4 linked regions of the Callithrix jacchus genome follow. The main gene of each other region encodes a partner of the protein of the gene in region 3 in a complex. Links are inferred from orthologs where the notes say so. Each region holds a gene or a part of one and is shown on either strand. Other genes may lie near its edges.

Region 1 (4,141 bases), on a different chromosome or scaffold from region 3:
AGTTGCCAAACATCCGATCCAGCGCCCATTGTGGGGCCTGGAGCACTCCTGGGAGGGGAAGGGGAGGAGGGAAAGAGGTGAAGTCCTAGAGGGTTAAAGGAGTTTCTGGGAAAGAGGACAATGGCCACGGTCACACCCTCACCTCGTGCTTATAGACCTCGATTGTCTGGACCTCCTTGGCTGTGCGCAAGTCTGCAGGGAAAGAACCCACCCTAAGTAGTGCCCCACGAGCCTCAGCCTCCCTCACTGCCATCTTGCCCTCCAGCCAGCCACCTCCTTACCCCAAAGTCGAACAGCTCCATCCTCACCACCCGACAGCACCTCTGGGCTCCTTTCTCTCAATGCCAGGCAATGGATGTAGTCTGTGTGGCCCCGGAGGACCCGCTGCAGTAGAGGGGCAATGTGAGGAGATCTAGGAAGAGTGCCTCTCCCTGGCCTGGACCTGCTCTAGGGCTCCAAGCCCCTGCTCACCGTGAAGGTCCCAGTTTCAAGGTCCATAGTGTGCAGCTGACAGTCTCCCCCAGCCAGGATGAGAGAATTCTCCTGTGAAGGAGGAGGGTGAGGCAGGAAGTCAGTGTCAAATCAGGAAAGGCAGAGAGTGAAGAATCAAAGTTTGGACCAACAACAGTCACATGGGGCTCAGACCTTGGGGACCAGCAGCAAAGCATTGATCTCAGGCACTTCCAGGCTGGTCCTGGGGGAGGAAAGTCAGGGTAAGTGAGGGAGTGCCTTCACCCCCATGCGCCCTCTATCCACGTGGCCCTGGCTCACCTGTATGGAGGCTGACGGCACCACAGCTCCTTACAGCCCTTCAAAAGGAAAAACATGAGGCGACCTCAAAGGCCCTTTTTGGGTCTGGGTACCCCAGCCCTTGCCCCAGCCTCACTCCTTACCTTCTTGAGCATCTCCACCCAAAGCCAGGCCTTCACCTCCCCATCCCCAGCACTGAGCAGATGTCGATCTGTGGAGACCATGCTGTAGACCGGCCCATCATGGGCTGAAGAGAAATCCGGAAGTAAGTCAGCCGATCCCACCCAAAGCCCCGAAGCCAGACTCCACAGCTAGACCCACCTTGGAAAGTCACCACCGGCTTCTTACTTTCCTCTTTGGCTTCCGAGCTCAAAGCAGCAGACAAGCTGCAGGGGACAATGGAGGGGACCCAGGAGTCAGAAACAGGGGCATCTGTCCCATGAAGACCAAGTGCCAGGGCTAATGGGTGGACGGCAGCAGAGGGTACCTAAAGATGGCGATCTGCCCATAATTGTTGCCAGCTGCCAGAAACTTCCCACACGGTGAGACGCTTTGGGAGAAGATGGTCATATGGAGCCGCTGCAAGGCCTGGAACACCTCTGCCTGCAAGGAAAGACTGGATGAGGCCTGCCTGGGACATCTGAAACCTCCCATCCACAGACTCCTCCCTGCTTCCCCGCTACACCTGCCAGGCCTCCCACTGTCCTGACTTCTCAGACCTCTTTTGCAGCAGCCAGCACCTGCCCATGCAGTCCCATAGGTGGCTCCAAGAAGACACTGAAGAAGGGGAGAGTTGAGGTGTGACGCCTCATGAACCTCTGAGCAAACACCCAAGCCTCTCCTACCAGCTTCCTCAACTTTCAAATGGAGCTCACAGGAGATTGTCACGATTAGATGAGCTAGTGTATAGACAGAGCTTTGCACAAAGCTGTCACTCAGTGCTTAAGCCAGGTGCCATGGCTCAAGCCTGTAATCCCAGCGATCTGGGAGGCTGAGGCGGGAGGATCGCTTGATGCCAGGAGTTCGAGAGCAGCCTGGGAAACATAGTGAGACTCTATCTCTACAAAAAAAAAAAAATTTAAAAATTTGGCCAGGCACGGTGGCTCACACCTGTAATCCCAGCACTTTGGGAGGCCAAGACAGGCAGATTACCTGAGGTCAGGAGTTTGAGACCAGCCTGGCCAACATGGTGAAATCCTGTCTTTACTAAAAACACAAAAATTAGCTGGCCGTGGTGGCACATGCCTGTAGGCCCAGCTACTCTGTAGGCTGAGGCAGGAGAATCGCTTGAACCTGGGAGGCACAAGTTGCAGTGAGCCGAGATCTCACCATTGCACCCCAGCCTGGGGACAGACTCGGTCTCAAAAAAAAAAAAAAAAAAAGTGTTTAAAAAGTGGTTCTGCTCGGCTGGGCGCGCTGGCTCACGCCTGTAATCCTAGCACCTTGGGAGGCAGAGGTGGGTGGATCACCTGAGGTCAGGAGTTCAAGACCAGCCCGATTTAAAAAAAAAAAAAAAAAAAAGTGGCTCTACTACCCCAACATAGAAAAACGTACTGACTTGTAATCCCTATTCTCTGACTTGCGTTAAGCCCCTGAGGCCTTATTGGTTACTTTCCCGCCCCACCCCCCGACCCGGTCATAATCTGAGTCCCACAAACAGCCCTAGCAAAACAGGGCTCGGGGCACTATTCCCTGCCCGCCCTGTCCAAGTCATGCATGGACTACAAACCCCAGAAGGCACCGCGCACCACGTCCGTCTCACCTGACCCAGAGGCACCGCGAGCGGCACAGCTCGCTCCATCTCCAGAACTACAAGTCCCAGAGTGCTCGCGCGCAACGCAATCTCACGATGCCGTACGTTCCTAGAGCGGTTACTCCTCGCGGCGCCCTGCCGCCTTCGGCGCGAAGGTGACTGCTGCGTACTGTACTGAACCCCAGGAGCCGAGGTGAGCACCACGAAAACCCCCGACACTAAGAAGTGACGCCCACCGCAGTTCCGCTAAGCCGATCCCTTCCCCCACCCCGAGGAACAGGCCCGCCTTCCGCCACGCGCCCCACGTCTTCCGCGCCCGCGCAGAACCTCGCAGCTGCGCACGCCTAAAGCCACACCCCTTCGCGTTGGGCCACGCCCTCAGAGACTCCGCCTCCGTCGCCCAGATCCCACCCGCAGGACCCCAAAACCCAATGATCCTGGAGCAGCCCTTGGAGCGAGGCCCGCAGGGTGGGGCCCAGCGCCTCCCGCGGGCCGCCTTGGGGGTGACTCGCGGCCTGGACGCTAGGTGCGTGTAGGGGACCAGGGTGGGCCTGACCAAGGGCCGCAGGAGCTTTGGCTGGGTGCTCAGGGCTGGTCTGCAGATGGACACGGTGTAGGGCGAATCGGCGGGGCTTAGGTGTAAACTGAGACCGGATTGGGTCTTCGGCTCAAGGTCGAGACTTTCGAGGTACGCTGCTGGATGGCCCAGAAGAGAGGGGACAAGCACCACCTGAGACAGGAATGGGCTTGGGGCTCCTGGCTGATGCTGCAGGCTCAGGCGGGCAGATCCTTGGGAAGGGGCCAAGAGGGTGGGGTGCACCAGGCTCTCTTTTTTTCCCAGCTCCCCTCTCCGAGGAGCTGTGCCCCTGAGCACCAAGCGGCGCCTGGAGGAGGAGCAGTGAGTTTGGGGGGCAGGGAGGGACTCCCAACAAGATCTCTGTCACCTCTGGTCCCCAACACGCTGTCTCCTGTCTCAGTTTCCCAGCCTCCCTCTCTTTCATCTCTCCCCAGGGAGCCTCTGCGCAAGCAGTTTTTGTCTGAGGAGAACATGGCCACCCATTTCTCTCAACTCAGCCTGCACAATGATCACCCCTACTGCAGCCCCCCTATGACCTTCCCCCCGGCCCTGCCCCCACTCAGGTAGGCTCCTCCACTGGCCAGGCTTTCTGCAGGATCACAGGCGGTTCTCAGAGCTGACCTCAGGCCCTGCCTCATCGTGCCATTTTTAGCTCTAGCTGACCTCTGGGTTGTTTCCCATCTTGGCTCTTTGGAAAGTGCTGAGAACCCGGGAGCCCCTGGGGACCTGGACCTGGTGGGAGGTGCTCAGTTAGGCCGCCTCAGCCCCCTTGCCGACTATCATTTCCTCTTCTAGGAGCTCTTGCTCTGAGCTGCTTCTCTGGCGATACCCTGGCAGCCTCATCCCTGAAGCCCTCCGGTTGCTGAGGCTGGGGGACATCCCCAGTCCCTCCTACCCTTCGACCCCAGCTGGGGACATAATGGAGCTCTGAGTGCTAGTGGACAGCGCCCCTCCCAGCTTCCTTCGTCCCCACAACAGAAGAGACCAGCGACTCCCGCAAAGGGACAAGGAGCCTCCCTCTCCTCCAGACCAGGCACCAAGACCTTCCCTCAACAGAGGAC
Region 2 (4,235 bases), on a different chromosome or scaffold from region 3:
TTCCTGCAAGTATATTTAACAGGAGCCACTGAGGCTAGTCCAGCAGGCAGACAGCGGAAGGGACACTCACAGTCGGGGCAGCAGCCATTAAACGCCATCCTGCAGATGCCACAGTTCTCATCGTTGGCCACCCAGAGCCAAGTGGCCACGCCATTCCAGCACTTAATCTTCACCTTCATGGCAGCAGAGCCTGTACCCGAAGGGAAGAGGATGACAGGCTTAATTTAGTCTGCAGAACTAGAAGATTTAGGCACCAAAATAGGAATAAGCCTGGCACAGTGTAGTCTCAGCTACTCAAGGGGCCAAGGCAGGAGATCACTCCAGCCCAGGAATTCGAACCCAGCCTAGGAACATCGTAAGCCGTTTCTATTTTACTTTTCTTTTGTTTTTGAGACGGAGTCTTGCTCTGTCGTGTAGGCTAGAGTACAAGGGCGCACTCTTGGCTCACTGCAATCTCCGCCTCCCGGGTTCAAGCCGGCCTCCCAAAGTGCTGGGATTACAGACATGAGTCATCGCGCCCGGCCCGACTAATTTTTTTTTTTTAAGAGACAGTGTCTCACTATGTTGCCCGGCTGGCCTCACTGAGCTCAAGCAATCCTTCCACCTCGGCCTCCCAAGCAGCTGGGATTACAAGTGTGCAATGGCACACCCGACTTTCGACTTTTTTTTTTTAGATATGGGGGTCTCACTACGTTGCCCCAGCTGGTCTCAAACTCCTAGGGTGAAGCGATCCTCTTGCCTCGGCCTCCCAAAAAGTTTGGAGCACAGGCGTGAGCCCCGCGCCGGGCCCGTACCAAAACTTGTAAAGGATATGACTAGCAAATGTGAGATTGGAGACTTCGAGGTTGCAGGTGGAGACCAAAAACCCCGGCTCAAAAACCAAAAAGCAACCCGCAGCAGGTCTGCACCGGCTGCAGCCCGCTGAGGCCACTCCCGCAGGATCCCGCCCCGAGCCAAGCGCACAGCCCTCGGGCGGGCGCAGAAACAAGGACCCCCGCAGGTTCCCGGACACCCGCCGCGCCCGCAGCGCCCCCAGCCCTAGCAGAAGGGCGGGGCAGGCGGGGAGGGAGGGGAGCGCATGCCCCACTCCCAACGACCGCCGCCCAACCCCCTGCGGCCTCGCACCTTCGCCAACCTAATCACGCACGGCTCTGCCCGCCCTTCCGTTGGCAGCGCTGACGTCCGCGCGGGAAGGTATAAAAACGACCACAGTCACGGCCCGGCTCCCTCAGCAGCGCCCGCCGAGTCCCGCGCGGCAGTGCGCACGCGCTTCCCCGTCTCTCCCCGTCCCGCGCGCGCTGCGGTCCGCAGGCGGCCAATCACTAGCCGCTCCGAGGCCGTAGCACCGGAAGGCCTCACGCGGCGCCGGAGGTGACGTGCTGGCGTGCTGACGCGCGGGCTCGAGCCGATGCCCGATTCCGCGCCCGCCATGGCCGACAAAATGGACATGTCTCTGGACGACATCATTAAACTGAACCGGAGCCAGCGAGGAGGCCGCGGCGGGGGCCGGGGCCGCGGCCGGGTCGGCTCCCAAGGCGGCCGCGGCGGCGGGGCGCAGGCCGCCGCGCGAGTGAATCGAGGCGGCGGGCCTATCCGGACCCGGCCGGCCATCGCCCGCGGCGCGGCCGGCGGAGGCGGGAGGAACCGACCGGCGCCCTACAGCAGGGTGAGTGTGGAGGCCGGCCGCACCGGAGAGGGCAAGCCGGGGAGGCTGGCGGCGAAGGCCGAGCCCGGCTGGCTGATAGGGCTGGTGGAGCGGCCGCCCGGAGGTCCGGAGGGTGCGTGTGGGAGGGCGCATAGGGGGTGGTGGGCGGGGGCGAGGTCGTTCATTCCGGGCCCGGCCCGGAGGCTGAGACCCTTTTCAACCCTTTGTTCCGGCCGCCGGGACCTCGTGGCGGCGTGAGCGGAGGGGTAGCTGAGCGCGGCAACAGCGGCGGGAAGTTAGTGGAAGGGAACTGAAGTTGTGCTGCCGCGGTGGGACCGTGCGGCCTCGTACCTGGGGCTGCTTTAGCGGCCGGAGGGAGCGCTGGCGGCCTCATCTCCGCCGGATCCTCTCAGGCCGGGAAGAGGAAGGGTCCGGGGTCGCCGCGAGGACTGGGAAAGCCCTGGACTGAGACTCACAGGTCTGCTGTTGTTGTGGTTTTTCCTTCAGCCAAAACAGCTTCCTGACAAGTGGCAGCACGATCTTTTCGACAGTGGCTTCGGGGGTGGTGCCGGCGTGGAGACGGGTGGGAAACTGCTGGTGTCCAATCTGGATTTTGGAGTGTCAGATGCCGATATTCAGGTAAGAGACTAAGGCTTCTCGGTGACCCGTTCGCCCTGCACAGGACGGATCATATTTTGGGGGATGTGGCCCTGAGTCCCCTTCCCGCCTTGGCAAAGGGAGCCCTCCCAGCTCTGAAGGGCTGCAGGACAGACCTAGCGCCAGTAAAGCCAGGGTCAGTCCGCAGGCAGGTGCGAGCCTAGCCTAGCCTGAGGATCTGCTGCTCTTAGTCTGAATATGGGTTCTGTGAGTGAAAATCCTCTGCCAGGGCTTCCAGTTTCTAACAGAGAAAAAGACTGATCAAATGTGAGTGGTTCTTGGCTGTTAGACTCAGCCCACTTGTGCTTTAAATTTAGTGCCTGTTTTAGTGGGTTAATGTGACAAAAAGAATCTTCCTTATGTACCTTGTAAAGCAGAGGGAGCCTGTGTGTTTTTCTAGCTCTGTTTGACTTGAGTATTGTCTTAAAAAGACCTTGTAAATTGTGGTTTTATCACTCCCCGCCCCCATGTCCTGTCAGCGACTTGATTCTCTAACTCATTAAAGCTTTTTTTTAAAAAAAAAAAAAAAAAAAAGAAAGAAAGAAAAATTGAATCCCAACGGCATTTAAAGTTGTTTTCTGGTTAAGAAGTGGCTTTTTGGGAATCAGTTTTGGAGATGGCTGGGCAGGGTTCAGTTGTCCACAGCCTAGCCATTTGCCTTGGGAGGACAGAGCAGGGCCAGTGAGCACTCACAGTGTCTCAACACTTTTTTTAAGGTGGTTTCTAGCATCCACTGGAAACCGCTTTTGGTGAACTCCACTTCCCGCTGTGTGCCTGCGGCCGGAGTATCCCCACACTCTGGGTTCCCTCTCCAACTCCCAGCCTGCCTGAGGTCAGGGCAGTTTCCATGGCAGCGCTTGACTTCAGACTTTGCCGCAGGCTTGAGTAGGAGGAGAGGGAAAGGTGAGCCAGAATCTGCCTTTGGGGGAGGGGCTGGGGTCAGGGTTCCCAAGTCAACAGGCCCTTCAAGCTGGTCTGATACCGGACCAGTTCCCTTGCTCTTGATCTTGGCCTTTACAGTTTCTTGGAACAGCCCTTGGGTGTGTTGTAAATTTTCCTTTGTTGAAGAGGATAGTGGCTTAATTTTGTGCCCCTTTCTAGTGGGCTTTGCGACTTCCTCTACCTGCATCGTGGTACACCTGTCAGGTCCCCTCAATGGCAGGAGCCCTCAGACCCAGGCGCTCTTGGAAGTTGCTGTCCCTCCTGCCCTGCCCTTCCCTCATTTCCCATTACCACTGCCCTGCCTCCCAGGGAACCACCCCCAAAACAGCTCACGCTTCCAGGGCCTGTCCCTGGGCCACCAGAAGGAGCACAGTTTTGTTGCTCTTCTGACAACTGCTCTTTGCAACTCCAGGAACTCTTTGCTGAATTTGGAACACTGAAAAAGGCAGCTGTGCACTATGACCGCTCTGGCCGCAGCTTAGGAACAGCAGATGTACACTTTGAGCGGAAGGCAGACGCCCTGAAAGCCATGAAGCAGTATAACGGTGTCCCTCTGGATGGTGAGTGTGGGCGGGGGGACCCACGCTGACTGTCGGGCTTGTGGAGTTTGGGGCTGGCACCTGTCCAGGTAGGAATATGGGGTACCCCTGTGGCTGAGGACACTTTGCATTTGCCCCTTTGTCTCTCTCTTCCATCTGCCACCTCTCATGCTGCCCCACACATCTGGACCAACCTCTTGTGAACCCCCATCCAGCAAGCTACATCCCTCCCCTCCTTCAGCTCCTTCCGGAAGATTCACTTCTGTGAAGCCTTCTCAGAACCGCCATAGTACACCTCTGAGTGCGGGGCTGTAGTCGTAAAGACAAAGGTACCGGTTCTTCTTCGTCAGGTCACCCACACCTCTCCACCTACGAGCACCCCAACACCTCAGCAAGCAGCCCACCTAGTCTAGACTGAGAAGGAGTGAGGAGGTGTTGGTGGGGTTGCTTCC
Region 3 (3,558 bases):
AGATGCCATAAGGGTAGACAGTCTTCTCCTTCAGTTTAGAATATCCCCTATGACTCCCAGTACAGAAATATTTAATGGAAAGGGTAGTGGTGGTGACGACTTATGCCTAAATTATCAAAGTCCCCTATTCTCAAAGGTTAAAAAGAAATCATAGAAAGATGATAGATGACCCCCTTACTGTGCTTAAAAGAATAAAAACCAACCAGGGAACCCAGAGCCATCAGTCATGGGTGATAGATAAGAGTCGTCCTTACACTGAGGTGCTCCTGTTTCAAATAAACATCATTTGGCTCCAAAGAACAACTCCCCAGCATTAGCCAAGCCCCAGCACTGCCACTCACCGAGCTGTTCAAGCATTTTATCGCATTCATCCAAAATAAAGTGTTTAATGTGTTTGAGGTTGAGGCTCTTATTTCGAGCCAGGGCTAGGATACGGCCTGGAGTCCCCACGACGATATGCGGGCAGTTCTTCTTCAGCACCTCTTCATCCTTCTTGATAGACAGACCACCAAAAAACACAGCAACCTGCCAAGCCAAGAGCAAAGAGTCTCAAAAACAAGGAAGGAAAGAGTCCAATCCCCCCAGGGTTCCCACTCTCAGTTTGAGCTAAACCAATTTTTAGCATGTTTCAAAACTACAATAAACTTTTAGAGGTCACCTAATTTAAAAATTTTATGTCGCCCCACCAAACACTGAGGTTTATAACAAAAGTGATTGCCTCAAGTTACAGAACTACTCAGAACAGTCAGGACAAGAATTCAGTTCTTCTGACTTAATCTAACCATCTTCCTTCATTTATGAGGCCAGGCTTCATTTAAAAAATCAAGGAGCCAGGTATGGTGGCACATTCTTGTAATCCCAGCTACTTGGGAGGCTGAGGCACGAGAATCACTTGAACCTGGAGGCAGAGGTTGCAGTGAGCCACGATCTGTACTCCAGCATGGGTGACAAGAGGGATACACCATCTCAAAAAATAAAAATAAAAATAAGGCTGGGCTCGGTGGCTCACACCTGTAATCCTAGCATTTTGGGAGGCCAAGGCAGGTGGATCACTTCAAGCCAGGAGTTCAAGACCAGCCTGGCCAATACAGTGAAACCCCATCTCTACTAAAAATACAAAAATAACCCAGGAGATTGAGGCAGGAGAATTGCTTGAACCTGGGAGGCAGAAGTTGCAGTGAGTGGAGATCAAGCCACTGCACTCCAGCCTGGGCAACAGAGGGAGACTCCACCTCAAGGAATAAATAAAAAATAAATATAGGCCGGGTGCAGTGGCTAATGCCTGCAATCCCAACACTCTGGGAGGTCGAGGTGGGTGGATCACGAGGTCAGGAGTTCAAGATAAGCCTGACCAAGATGGTGAAACCCCATGTCTACTAAAAATACAAAAATTAGCCAGGCGCAGTGGCGGGCGCTACTCGGGAGGTTGAGGCAGCAAGAAACACTTGAACCCGAGAGGCAGAGGTTACAGTAAGCTCAGATCATGCTACTGCACTCCAGCCTGGGTAACAGAGCAAGACTCTTGTCTCAAATAGTAATATAGTAATAAATAAACAACAGCAAGAAATCACCAGATGAGTGTAAAGTACCACAAAAAACACACGAAACATCAAGTTATCCTAAATAAACCCAGAATCTCCACACAAACCCCATGAAATTATTGCTTGAGGTTAAATATTATCACTCCATGTTAAATCCATTAGGTGAATAGTTATTTAGGGATCTGGGCCTTGGTACGCTATCAAGTAACACCAGAAACTACTTTCTAGTTTCAAGGGGGAAAAGAAGAACCATGGAATCAAACTGTCATGACACTAATCCCACCGTAAATCTAAAATCTCTAACGAGGCCAGGCGTGATGGCTCACGCCTGTAATCCCAGCACTTTGGGAGACCAAGGTAGGTGGCTCACTTGAGGTCAGGAGTTTGAGATCCACCTGGCCAACATGGTGAAACCCTGTCGCTACTAAAAATACAAAAATTAGCTGGGCGTGATGGCACTATGTAGTCCCAACTACTCGGGAGGTTGAGGCAGGAGAATCACTTTAACCTGGGAGGCACAGGTTGCAGTGAGCTGAGATTGCACCACTGCACTCACAGCCTGAGAAACAGAGAACTCCACCTCGAAATAAAATAAAAATAAAATAAAAAAAGATAGATCAACCAGATTTGTGGCATAACAGGAGATACAGCATCACCTATGCAGCATTCTTGCCAAAAATGCTTAACTTAAATTTAAAAACAAAAAAAATTTTTTTTTTTTTGAGACCAAGTCTCAAGTCACCCAGGCTGGAGTGCAGTGGCACAATCTCAGCTCACTGCAACCTTTGCCTCCCAGTTCCCAGGGATTCTCCCACCTCAGCCTCCCAAGTAGGAGGGACTACAGGTGCATGTCACCACGCCAGGCTAATTTTTGCATTTTTCATACACAGGATTTCACCGTGTTGGCCAGACTGGTCTCGGACTCCTGACCTCAAGTGGTCCACCCACCTTGGCCTCCCAAAGTACTGAGATTACAGGAGTGAGCCACCATGCTTGGCCAGAATCCTCAAAATTCTCACCACTGGAGCTGTTTTTAAAGTTTCTAGCTTTCTCTGCCACACACCTCAAAATGATCAAACTGATAGGATTCAATTCAGTATGAAGTAGTAAGAAAAGGGTGGTCTTGAGCATCATCCATAGCCCACTTATGAAATGAATCCTCCTGTTATACAGGATCTTAACACTCTGTTAAACCAAGGCAAACTATAGTTTCTCCAAAATTAAGTTTCTCATCCCTCCAACTTGCCACATCCTCACTCTCAGGTCTCTTTACCTTGACTTACCTTGACATTGGGCATATATTTAGAAAAGCGCTCATATTCCTTGCTGATCTGAAAAGCCAACTCCCGAGTGTGACACATCACCAGCACAGACACCTTAGGCAGGAAGTAGATGGAGACATACAGTAAGTACAGCCCTTCATTATCTCCTCTAGGGAAGTGATTGTCACAAAAATATACCTGGCCAGTGATAAATGACTTTAATTCTGTGACCTAAATCATGAACTCTATGCTTGCAACAGAACATTCCCCACAGCTGTCAGGTTGTCAAGGCTAACAGCGGTTATGTGCTCATGGCTCTGCAAGCATCATGTAGCTAGGACAAAAACCCCTTTCCCTTATAATCCTAACCAAAATCCCTTCCCCAGCACTCTCCCCAAATGTACCTGCCCAGTAACTGGCTCCAGCTGTTGCAGTGTGGCCAAGACAAACACTGCTGTCTTTCCCATGCCCGACTTGGCCTGGCACAGGACATCCATTCCCAGAATGGCCTGAGGGATGCACTCATGCTGGACTAAAAGAAGGGGGGAGGAAAGATAAATTAGACTCCAGTCTCCAGATAACTCTACCACCTTTTTCATCATGCCAACCCCATTCCTTACCACTCAATTCTCAAAGTCTAGTATGTACTTGGTTCTTGACAACTTCCAGACTTTCTACCTCTCTCTGCTCCTTCAACCACATTCACCTCAAAATCAAACACTCCTCATTCCTCCTAGCTTCACCCTCCTCCAGGT
Region 4 (4,012 bases), on a different chromosome or scaffold from region 3:
CAGCTGTCTCTCAGATTCCCTGAACTCTATTGGGAATGAAGAACTTCCCCATCACGCAGAAAATAAAAACTGAAGACTTGGGGAAAACTTTAAAAGGCAAGAAGAATCCTCACTACATTTTAGAGACATAGTCATTTTCTCACTGATCTTTACGTTTCAACTGTAACATGAAGGTGTATGCGTAGGCTTGGGGCACTCACTTCAGGGAGCAAGGGAAACAGGAAATCTCACTTTCCTGAAGAAGTTAACCATGAAGAGGTCACGCACACCCAGAATTCCAGGAGAAAGTCATGGAATCATCAAAGAACCACTAAGAAGGGATGACAGAGTAAAGCTCTAGTCCCAACCTGTTCTCTGGGGCTTGTCCACCCTGTCTCACCTCCGTGGCATGTCAGCAGTCAGCATCCCCACTGCTTCTCTCAAGCGTGGGGCACGACAACAACTTGCCCACGCCTTCTGGACTGGGTTAGGAAGGAACCTGAGCTCAACGTTTCGAGAGATGGAGCCTTAGCTCTGACTCCAGGGGCGGCAGTGATCAACTGAACTCGGATCTTTAAAATTGTGGTAGCTCTAAAGCTGATGATGTCTGGTTAGGAAGCGGCTCTTGCCCGCCCCAGCCACCCGCCAGTTCCTTAAGCCCGCCCCATTCCCTCCCAGCTTCCTCCTCTCATGTTCGTCGGTTTTTTTCAGGGCTCCCTTCAGCATTCGTTTCTCAGCATTTAAGTCACCGCTTCCTCGGCGCCCCTTTCGCCTCCCACCATATTTCCTTAGCAACCTTTCTAGTCCTCGCGGCCCCTACCTGCCAGCTTCAGATCCCTGTCTGCTTATGGGCGAGGCGCCGGCTACCACATCTGAAGTCTCCAGGAAGTGACTCCTCTCCGTCTGCCCCTTCCCTATTGGAGGAACATAATCAGCGGTTGGTGATATGTGATGCAGACGCACAATTGGTTGCCATTTCTGTCGTTCGTAAGATAAGTGCCCGCCCCTCTCTCTGTCCCCCCTTTTGAAAGAGGTGGGGAAAGCTGCCGAGAGACATGAGGGACGTCAGCTATTGACCAATGGGAAGAGCTGATGGTATGTAGTGGGAGCAAGAGTGGCAACGATTGGTCAGCCTTGCATCTCTACGCCTAAGGCGGGAGCTCCTGGAGGCGGAGGCAGCGGGTGGGGGCTTAGCGGAGTGAGGGGTAACAAGATGGCGACCGAGACGGTGGAGCTCCATAAGCTGAAGGTACCGTAAATCGGGGAAGGGCTCAGTTGGACTTTTCTGGGAACTGAATTCTGCACAGTGACTTGCGTCTTCTCCTACGTGTTCTCCTTGCAGCCTTTTCTACTTTGTTTCTTGGCTCCCGCCGTAGCTCTTTTGTGCCACCCTTCCACACTACGCCTTCCCTAATTTTCCATTTCTCCTCACGGTTTTACTGCTATATTTTTTTGTTATTTCTGTTCCCTTCATCCTTGTATCGTCCGTCACCCTTGTCCACCAGGTTGTAAGTGCCTTCTACCTGTTATACTCCTCGTTGCTCTTCTGGTCTGCATTACGTCAGTTGGTCCCTCCTCTTTGCCCCACGTCGGACCCAGGATCCCTTTTTCTTCCCTGGAATTATGTTTCCAGTCTGTCTTCTGAAGCTGAGACTCGCCTATTATATTAGCAGATGGTGGCATTTTTGTGTGTCGCTATTTGAATAGATCCCAGACACTCCCCTTTTCTAGGTGGGATTACGCCACCAGGGAGAATTTTGAAACCAGGGAAAGGCCTCACCTTAGAAGCCTGGGGTTGAGGAGGCCTTGAGATAGAAGTACAGACACCTCAGATTTAAAAGTTTTCCAGTTCTCTCACGCGGTTCTCCACTTGCCAGCCTTCCTCACACACCGTCTCCTACCACCAGAGAGAATTCATACCTGCAGTATTTGGGAAAAACAGTTCCAAGGTTAAGATTATCTCTGTTCCATTTCATATCTCAATGGGCTCTGCATCTCCTGGTGTTTTACCATTGGGTGACACTGAATCACAGAAGCTATTTTAAATTGTCTTATGAGAATCTTGGTAGTTTTCTCATACTTGGATTATTATTTTCCTGAAAGAGAGAGTATTTATTTAAGGTAGATTGCAAACAACTAAGAGAGATAAAAAAGTTAAAAAATATATTAAAAAGAAAATTTCAAAGAGTATTTTCTTTTAGGGTAAACTAATCTTGATTAATTCTCTGTGGTTTCACAGGTAGATTTCCTATTGGATGTTTTGGACAAACCAGGCTGATACAGCTGAAACTGAAAAGTGATCCTTTAAAGCTTGAAGTGTTTTTTTGTTTGTTTTTGTTGTTAAGAAAGCTTAAGGGTAGGGAGAGGACCTTTGTTTAGTCACTTATTAGTTGACCCCTATTAGTCTTTCTGTGAAAGCTGATATTTTTCTTACTCTTGGATTCTAAACTCTGTTTAGTGGGTTTTTGTGTTATTCTCAAGTTATTGTTAACTTGGTGGTACTGAAATGCATAGACTATCAGTGGTTTCCTGATAATTATTGTGATGAGTAAAAGAAAAATTGAGCAATAATCTCCACTTGGTGTATATATACTGTACTTATAGAAATTGTATGCTTCTGTACCATTATAAAACATAGAAAAGGAATTTTTGAATGAGACAAAAAGGAACTATGCATAGAAGACTTAATATTTTCTTTCTATTTGTCTTTTTTTTTTTTTTTTTTTTGAGACAAAGTCTCACTGTGTAGCCCAGGCTGGAGAGTGCAGTGGTGGAGTCTCAGCTCACTGCTCCCTCCACCTCCCAGGTTCAAGCGATTCTCCTGCCTCAGCCTCCTGAGCGGCTGGGACTACAGGCATGTGCTACTATGCCTGGCTAATTTTTATATTTTTAGTGAGATGGGGTTTCACCATATTGGCCAGGCTGGTGTCGAACTCCTGACCTTGTGATATGCCCACCTTGGCCTCCCGAAGTTCTGGGATTACAGGCATGAGCCACCACACTATTTATCCTATTTTTGAAATCCCTGGAGTAAGTCACCAGCTGCCCCATGACTTACTTGTTTTTATAATTGTGTTTGTTTATGGAGTTCCTCCTTCCATCAAATCTGTGTTTGTCAGATCTATATTAAACTTGTATTTGACTGGATAAGTAACTTTTACATAAAGTCCTCTGACCTGATTTCAGTGTTGCAGTCTAAGAAAACATTAGGCACTCCTGACAGCCTAAAAAGGACTCACTCTTTAATCACATTTGCTTGTCTTTGCTTTTTCTCTAGAGCACTTCTTAACCTTTTGGAGGTCACAGATATCTTTGAAACTCTGATGAAAGGTATGGACCCTCTCTCGCCAGAAAAAGGCATGTACACGTACTTTGCATGCAGTTTGAGGGGCTTCATAAAACTACCTTGTAGCCCTGAGGAGTCCATGGACCTCTGGTTAAGAACTCATGCCTTCGACCAGGCATGGTGGCTCATGCCTATAATCCTAGCACTTTGGGAGACTGAGATGGGTGGATTGCTTGAGGCCAGGAGTTGGAGACCAGCCTGGGCAACATGGCGAAACCCCACCTCTACTCAAAATGCAAAAATTAGCCAGGCATGGTAGTGCGTGTCTGTAGTTCCAGCTACTGGGAAGGCTGAGGCACAAGAATCGCATGAGCCCCGGGGTGGAGGTTGCAATGAGCCTGGATTGTGCCACTGCTCTCCAGCCTGGCGGACAGTGAGACTCTGTCTCAAAAAGAAAAAAAGAACTCATGCCTTTGATTCTGATATTTAGGACGTTTATGTTTGGTTCCACTGGTGATCTTGATGTAATGATCCTGACTTCTAGGTTGACTTGAGGTTTTATTGCCTTTAAAAAAAAATCTTGGCTGGGTGCAGTGATCCATACTTGTAATCCCAGCACTTTGGGAGGCTGAGGCCAGGAGTTTGAGACTAGCTTAGGCAACATAGTGAGACCCTGTCTCTACAAAATATTAAAAAATTAGCTGGGCATGGTGGCGCACACTTGTAGTTTCAGAGCAGTGACTGACA

What was found.
Region 1: DDX39B (region 3) and THOC6 share a complex: the UniProt entries of both Homo sapiens proteins name them as parts of the transcription/export (TREX) complex. The link is inferred for Callithrix jacchus from reciprocal best matches to the Homo sapiens genes DDX39B and THOC6.
Region 2: DDX39B (region 3) and ALYREF share a complex: the UniProt entries of both Homo sapiens proteins name them as parts of the transcription/export (TREX) complex. The link is inferred for Callithrix jacchus from reciprocal best matches to the Homo sapiens genes DDX39B and ALYREF.
Region 4: DDX39B (region 3) and SARNP share a complex: the UniProt entries of both Homo sapiens proteins name them as parts of the transcription/export (TREX) complex. The link is inferred for Callithrix jacchus from reciprocal best matches to the Homo sapiens genes DDX39B and SARNP.

What each region holds. Positions count from the first base shown.
Region 1 is NC_133513.1:5,170,853-5,174,993, reverse strand, and holds the start of THOC6 (THO complex subunit 6), read right to left. Parts: upstream 2,834-4,141; 5' UTR 2,552-2,833; coding exon 2,513-2,551; intron 1,528-2,512; exon of another isoform or gene 1,509-1,527; coding exon of another isoform or gene 1,470-1,508; intron 1,354-1,469; coding exon 1,238-1,353; intron 1,137-1,237; coding exon 1,072-1,136; intron 998-1,071; coding exon 894-997; intron 810-893; coding exon 772-809; intron 695-771; coding exon 646-694; intron 544-645; coding exon 472-543; intron 385-471; coding exon 282-384; intron 193-281; coding exon 143-192; intron 49-142; coding exon 1-48. Other genes in the region: HCFC1R1 (host cell factor C1 regulator 1), read left to right, coding at 2,935-3,029, 3,345-3,401, 3,515-3,643, 3,876-4,011. UniProt on the Homo sapiens protein: Component of the THO subcomplex of the TREX complex which is thought to couple mRNA transcription, processing and nuclear export, and which specifically associates with spliced mRNA and not with unspliced pre-mRNA.
Region 2 is NC_133506.1:137,488,152-137,492,386, reverse strand, and holds the start of ALYREF (THO complex subunit 4), read left to right. Parts: upstream 1-1,402; 5' UTR 1,403-1,408; coding exon 1,409-1,666; intron 1,667-2,152; coding exon 2,153-2,284; intron 2,285-3,656; coding exon 3,657-3,804; intron 3,805-4,235. Other genes in the region: anaphase-promoting complex subunit 11, read right to left, coding at 71-179. UniProt on the Homo sapiens protein: Functions as an mRNA export adapter; component of the transcription/export (TREX) complex which is thought to couple mRNA transcription, processing and nuclear export, and specifically associates with spliced mRNA and not with unspliced pre-mRNA.
Region 3 is NC_133505.1:39,022,678-39,026,235, forward strand, and holds part of DDX39B (spliceosome RNA helicase DDX39B), read right to left. Parts: intron 3,336-3,558; coding exon 3,208-3,335; intron 2,918-3,207; coding exon 2,825-2,917; intron 526-2,824; coding exon 342-525; intron 292-341; exon of another isoform or gene 216-291; intron 1-215. UniProt on the Homo sapiens protein: Involved in nuclear export of spliced and unspliced mRNA. Component of the TREX complex which is thought to couple mRNA transcription, processing and nuclear export, and specifically associates with spliced mRNA and not with unspliced pre-mRNA.
Region 4 is NC_133510.1:63,834,415-63,838,426, forward strand, and holds the start of SARNP (SAP domain-containing ribonucleoprotein), read left to right. Parts: upstream 1-1,179; 5' UTR 1,180-1,192; coding exon of another isoform or gene 1,193-1,228; intron 1,229-3,256; 5' UTR 3,257-3,302; coding exon of another isoform or gene 3,303-3,309; exon of another isoform or gene 3,310-3,336; intron 3,337-4,012. UniProt on the Homo sapiens protein: Binds both single-stranded and double-stranded DNA with higher affinity for the single-stranded form. Specifically binds to scaffold/matrix attachment region DNA. Also binds single-stranded RNA. Enhances RNA unwinding activity of DDX39A.